Linked DNA regions of Rattus norvegicus. The protein of the gene in region 1 interacts with the protein of each later gene in a pairwise test. Links are inferred from orthologs where the notes say so. Each region holds a gene or a part of one and is shown in the gene's direction. Other genes may lie near its edges. The genes, in order: Fez1 and Pdcd7.

What was found.
Region 2: the proteins of Fez1 (region 1) and Pdcd7 interact in a two-hybrid assay, tested with the Homo sapiens proteins (2 studies listed by BioGRID and IntAct). The link is inferred for Rattus norvegicus from reciprocal best matches to the Homo sapiens genes FEZ1 and PDCD7.

What each region holds. Positions count from the first base shown.
Region 1 is NC_086026.1:44,767,642-44,771,463, forward strand, and holds part of Fez1 (fasciculation and elongation protein zeta-1), read left to right. Parts: intron 1-729; coding exon 730-810; intron 811-2,695; coding exon 2,696-2,771; coding exon of another isoform or gene 2,772-2,863; exon of another isoform or gene 2,864-2,943; intron 2,944-3,822. UniProt on the Homo sapiens protein: May be involved in axonal outgrowth as component of the network of molecules that regulate cellular morphology and axon guidance machinery.
Region 2 is NC_086026.1:74,767,598-74,770,533, forward strand, and holds part of Pdcd7 (programmed cell death protein 7), read left to right. Parts: intron 1-1,526; coding exon 1,527-1,763; intron 1,764-2,010; coding exon 2,011-2,098; intron 2,099-2,936. UniProt on the Homo sapiens protein: Promotes apoptosis when overexpressed.

The sequences.
Region 1 (3,822 bases):
GAGGGAATGCTGCTTTTCTCCCTGATTTCCCAGAAGGTCTCTGGTCTGAGCGAGAACATACTGAATAAAGGTTAAAAAATAATTAGCTATGACCTGAGTTCTCCAGGCTGGTCCTTGAAAAAATAAACCAGGGTCTGTATCTCTACCATTGGTGTGGGTTATTGTCTGGTCTGGTCTCTTTGGGGCAGGTGTAGGGTATTGCTGGACTATGTGAATGGCTAAAAGGTGACCAGATAGCTTATAGGTTCTTGATAGAATGAAGTCCATAGTATTATCTAATCGACTTTTTCAGTGCACCCTTGCCTAACTCTAGTACAGATCTATTGAATTAGGCCAGGGCCACATGCCTCTTGAAGAAAAGTTTTCCCGCACCAGACCACTTCTGGAACCTACACTTCCTGAAAACTTCATCATCTATTTTACTAAGATCTTTGCATCTTAGTTCCCCAGAATCGAGCTGTCCTGTCTAATTTTTCTCTTTGCAGGATACAGGATAAAATGAGGAAGTCTGGGGATGACAAAAGGGTCTTATAACCTTGAGGGACTTACCCAAATGAGTCTCTAAGACTGCTACCCATTCTTGCTTGAATTTTGGCTTCTCTGCGCATCTGCCAATTACCGAGGGCAGTGTGACAGCTGATGAGCATTTGAGCAAGGACACAGAAGTCCCTGGGGTGGTAACATTGGGGCAGGAAGTCTGTGCCCATCCTGAGTGTATTTCTTCCTTAGCGTTTCAGCATGGAGGGCATCTCCAACATCCTGCAGAGTGGCATCCGCCAGACCTTTGGCTCCTCAGGAGCTGACAGACAGGTATGTGCAGCCCGATAGCTCCTTTATTCCTCCAGACGGCTCATTTCCTCACCAGAGATGAGAGTCAACAGAGTTATCCCAAAATCTGGGCCAGCATGAGGTTCCCTAACATTTTCTTTTATTTGTCAGGAAGACATAGGTAAAGTCTTTCAAAGGTCATTTTGTTGTTGTTGTTATTTTGTTTTAGGTCTTTTATCCCGGGACAAGGATAAAACTTAAAACTCCACATCAAATGTAGACCTATGAATTAGTTTGCTTTAAGAATAAAGTGCACTGGGGGATCTGTTTCAGAACAGAACACATCTTAGAGACTACTCAACTCTGTCTTTTTGATGGCCAGCTGAGCCTGTGCCACCAATATTTGCCTGTTCAACCTCCAACTCTGTAAGTCTAAGTCACGCTGTGGCACTCTCTAGCCTTCATTTTGACAGTAACTTGCAGTCAGCTTTGAAGTACTATGATGAAATACCCAGAGCAATTAACTTTAGAAAGAACAAACTTGGGCTGGAGAGACGGTTTAGTGGTTAAGAGCACTGACTGCTCTTCCAGAGGTCCTGAGTTCAAATCCCAGCAACCACATGGTGGCTCATAACCACCTGCAATGAGATCTGATGCCCTCTTCTGGTGTGTCTGAAGATAGTTACAGTGTACTTACATATAAATAAATAAATCTTAAAAAAAAAAACAAAACAAAGTTTTACCAATTTATTTTTATTGGGTGTCCTTACCAGTTTGGCATTTGGTATGGTGACATCATGTGGATGTGTTTGTAGTCACAAGGAGTCCCATGTCAAACTTGACAGAAAAGAGAGAGACAGAATGGGGTGGGACACATAAGAAGTCAAGAAAGAATATTCAATATCCTTTAAGGGCCAGCATAAGGCCTCTTAAAGGACCATAGTGCATCCCAGGACCATGACCCTGGGGAACAAGGCTTTGCATACAAACCTTTCGAAGACACATTACATTCAAACTACAGCATCTGTGATGTGGCTTGCACTTTGGGTTGTTACGGCAGAGTTTGACAACTGCCTGTTATGTGCTGTGATCTGCTGCTAGGTCCTCCAGGTACAGAAGTGAGAGGTCCTGGGCCTCCCCTCATGGAGTACAAAATCTAGTAGACTTGGCAGTATGTGCACGGTGTGTACAGGCACAGTGTGTGCACTGCCAACTTTGAAAATGTGGAATAAACGATGGAGAAGTATATATGCTGTTTTAGTGATCAAGGCTGAATCCTAAGGGTTACAGCTGTATGACCATAGCCTAGGAAAACTAGGAACATCTAACCAGCCCTCACTGGTCCTGGGAGAACTGAGGCCCAGAATCATAGAGTAGCTGTCTGTATCTTCACCGTGGCTAACAGGGCCTGTTGACCTTGGGCCTGTTATCACCTAGGACTCCCTAGGAGCCTGACAAGATCTCTTGGCCTACTGGTCTTTGATGCCTACTGGCTGGGCACCTCGAGGTTTGCTTTGTTGTAAGAGGGAGCAAATTTTACAATCAAGATCTCAGGTAGATATGTCATTTTGACAAGAGAGAACTAATTTCTTCCCAAATTGCACTGTGAAGAATTCAACTGTACACACTGCCCCAGCTCTCACCCAGGAGGAGAAACACTCCTAGGATTCTGAGAACCAAAAGGACTTTAGCATATTAAGAATGCATCAGTTGGGGTAGTGGAAGTTTCCCCCACTGAATACAGGAAAGCCTACTTTAGAGATACACGTAAAGAGGTGGAAGAAGGTTCTAGAGTAACAGCGTTCTACGGATGGAGAGCATTGTCCAGAATATGATGGAAAGTTAGGTCCAGGTTCAGGTTGCCCACTGTGCCTCCACCCAAGAGGGACCATGACTCACAGTCTGCATGCCCTGTTTGTCTTGGCAGTACCTGAACACAGTCATCCCTTATGAGAAGAAATCTTCTCCTCCCTCTGTGGAAGACCTGCAGATGCTGACAAACAGTGAGTTCCTCCTCCTCAGCCTCAGGCCTAAGTTGCCGTCCCTCCTCGCCTGTGCGCCTCCTGTTCTCACTTCCCAGATTCAGTTTCTTTAGGATGGCTTTGCATAGGGCAAACATTTCTGCATATCGTATCCTCTTCAATGAGGCGCAATTAAAAATACTCTGCTGTGACACCCAGGTTGTTTTTTGTTTTTTTTTAAAGGGTAGGAAGGTACTAGAGGGATGGGGCAGAGTTTTCTGTTTTCCCTACAGCTCCCTGGTCTTTGCCTTCTCCACTTGGGCTGCCCATACCTAGGTCCCTTAGAGCAGAGAGCTGTTGGTGGGCCCTGCTGTCCGTCCTGCTGTCCTTTTAATGTGAAGCAAGGCTTTTTGGGTGGGGCCAGGCTGCTTGGAAAGAATGGAGTCTGGTTTTCTCTCCAGGAAGTGACTGCCTCTCCAGTTTAGCTGCTTTGATCCGTATTAATACACATTCTGAACTGCAGGGAGAAGAAGCAACATGTAATAAAATGCTTCTCGTAGGCAGAATCCATCTATCTATGAATGTATGAAATAGTGCAACGTTCAAAAGGCCAGCTTCAAGTAGCAGTGTCCTCTGGGCACTCTTGGGAGGAGGAAAATCTTAGACTAAGACTTGGTGACATGCTCAGTGGATCAGATAGAAATCCCATTTTCCAGGCAACTGGGCCTGCTGAATGACAGCTTACAAGGCTGCTCAGTACACTGTGGATGCCCTGGAGAGGATGGGCCAGTGCAGGGCTATTGGTCAGGTTAAAGGAAGGGGGCTTCTACTAATACTAGGAAGACAAATATCCCCTTACCGTACCCCATTCCCAAGTTAAGAGTGAAGAAATACTTCCTTTTCATCCATCTCGAGGACAAAAGCAGAGTTTGCAGCAAACAGGTCTTGCCAACATCCATACACACCATGTCCTTGAGAATCAGGAATTTTAACTTCAAGGTCCATCCATCTGGTCAGATTTCTATATTTGTATAAATATGCACTGAGGTTCAGTACTGTGGATTAAACCTAGAGACTGCTGTGTGCTACCCCG
Region 2 (2,936 bases), about 30 Mb from region 1:
CTTAGGAGGGTGGATGGGGCTTGCTAGATGCCAGCCTAGCTCCGGGTTCAGGGGGAGATCCTGGTTCTTCTTTTTTTTTTTCGTTTTGAGACAGGTCTTATCTTGCTGTGTAGCCCTGGCTGACCTGGAACTCACTGTGTAGACTAGACTAGCCTTGAACTCATAGAGACCCTCCTGCCTCTGTTTTTCTCCTGGCTACTGGGAAGCCTAATTGTACCCCCAACCCCTCAATGACTTTATTTATTTGTATACATGAATTGGTGTGTTCCCTGCATGTATGTCTGTATTAGAGTGTTAAATCCTCTAGAACTGGAGTTACAAATGTTGTGTCTAGATTGTAAAAACCCCAAAGAGACCACCAGAAATCACAGCACCGATATAAACATGAGGGTCTTTAGCCAAGCTTGAGCTTGGGCCACCAACCTTCCTGCTGGAACAGGGGGAAGAGTGCCCCAGGTCTAAGTGAAGGGAGTTTATAAAGAAAAAAATGCAAGTGAGGGTTTCCAAGTCCTGGCATTACATGAGAGGGTAAAGGAATGTTGGTCTTTCAGCTAATTGGTTTACAGCATCTGGTTAAACTACAAGGAGGGAGCCTACATCAAAAAGGAGCACCTTGACCTGGGAAAGACTTAGGTTTCCTTAGCCGACTCTGTTGTTATCAGCCAGCTGCAGCTGCTGTGTCTATTTTGCAGCTGTCAGAGACATTCATGGTTTTTCTCAGACTTCAAGGGAAGGGGCCAATGCCTCTCTAAGGGCAAGTTAACTTAAAATGGAGTCTTAAGAACAAAATGGAGTTTATTTTGCTACCTCAGTCCTTCACAAACAGTTGTGTACTGCCATGTGGGTGCTGGGAATTGAATCTGGATCCTCTGGAAAACGTAGCCAATGGGTTTTTTTTGTTTTGTTTTGTTTTTTTGTTTTGTTTTTCGTAGACAATGTTCTTAACTGCTGAGCCATTTCTCTAGCACTGAGAGACCCTGTTTCAAGGGACAAAAATAAAGAGCAATAGAACAGGACCTCTGTTGTCCTCTGATGTCTCACACTCTCACACTGGTGTGCATGGGATGCATACCTGTGCACATGCCCCCCCCCCATGTCTCACACAACACACACACATACACACACACACACACACACACACACACACACACACACACACACACACACACAATGAGTTAGTTCATTAGCAAGTAGCATGAGCTGGAATGAGATGAGTGAGGGCCAGAAAGACAAATGTTTGGGAATGTCAAAGTGAAGGTCAGTAAAGAAACCAAAGTAGGCTGGAGAGAGAGAAGGAAAAGGTAGCCTCCTGGAGGAGGTGCAAATTCTGCTTCTTCTGGAATGTGGCAGATGGTTGTCCTCCCTGAGAACGTAGGTCACTCTGTGAAGGGAGTGACACTAGTTCTGCCCACAGCTAGTGTCACACTGTAGTGGGTGTGTGTGAAGCACATGGCAAGTACTTGCTCCGCCTCCTACTGCTAGGAGTGTAAGAGCAAAGGACCACCCATCTGCTTGTCTTTGTACAGGGGTCTGTCCTCCTGCGGCAGCAGATGAGACCTTTGAGCACCACCTTCAGCGGCTGAGGAAGCTCATTAAAAAGCGCTCTGAATTGTATGAAGCTGAAGAGAGAGCCCTCCGAGTTATGCTAGAAGGAGAACAGGAGGAAGAGAGGAGAAGAGAACTGGAAAAGAAACAGAGAAAAGAGAAAGAGAAACTTCTACTTCAGAAACGTGAAATCGAGTCCAAGTTATTCGGGGATCCAGGTAATCTTATCTTTGCCAGTAGAGATGAGGAAAGATCTAAGTTGAGAGTTCTTTTTTGAAAGTAACCCAACTTAAGCCAGAAGGAAGACCTGACTACAAGTTGAGATTCTGAACTGTGTGGTGAAAGTCAGGGGTACAGAGATGAGGGTGATCTTATTGTCATAATCAGTGGCTCAGTCACCTTGCCTTGAGAGTGCACTCTTAACAGCAAGCAAACATGGTGACATGTTGTGCCTTTCTCTTTCAGATGAGTTCCCACTCGCTCACCTCTTGGAGCCGTTCCGTCAGTATTACCTCCAGGCTGAGCACTCCTTGCCTGCGCTCATTCAAATAAGGTCAGAAGGGAAGCCTCTGCTCTCCCTTTTTCTTGGGTACAGGAAGCTCTTAATGAAGAACTTCTACCATTGAGGTCTGTTGCTGTCTCTATTTTTAAAAGTTCCTTTTGGGTACGCAGTATTGCCAGGTTTCAAGGGTGCCACCTGTATTTTTAAAGTCCTCATTAATTCTTGGAAGTCAGTGTCTCCAATTGAACGGGTAAAGAAACTGAAATGTGGCTGATTGCCCTGTAGATCATGTCCTTGAATTCAGAGATCTACTTGCCTCCACCTCGATGCTGGAATTTAAGGACTGCATCAGCATAGCTGGCCTTGTTTTCTTAATTCTCTTTTAGTGCTGAGTCAATCCAGGAAAAGATTTTTCCTGAATGGTTGCCCATGGAGGTGAAGGCCCATGCTGACCCCTGTGTGCCTGCAGTTTGAGCATAATGCTCTCAACTGAACTAGCTACTTAGGAGTTGGGTGATTCTCAGCTGTCCAGGCTGTGACAACAGCTGCTTTTCCGCATGCAGTCTTTTGAGAAGTCAATGACTGGATGTCCCATGCAGTGTAAACTTGTTGCCTAGAAGCATTTCTTTGTTTTTTAGGCTCCAACATTTTAGGGGTCTAGAAAAATGGCTTGAAATACTAGAGACTTCTTCCACATTCCAGCAATTTCTAAATCTTGGGAAGGAGTTTTCTGGCATATCACATTTATTTTCAGGAAAAGTTTTAGCTTCACTGCACAAGTTTTAATCTTTAAACATCTTATTGATAGTAGGTAGGTTCTGTCAAGTTACTGTGAATATCGAGTCACAGAATATTGGACATAGCATTGCTCCTGATGGAGATAGGGCCA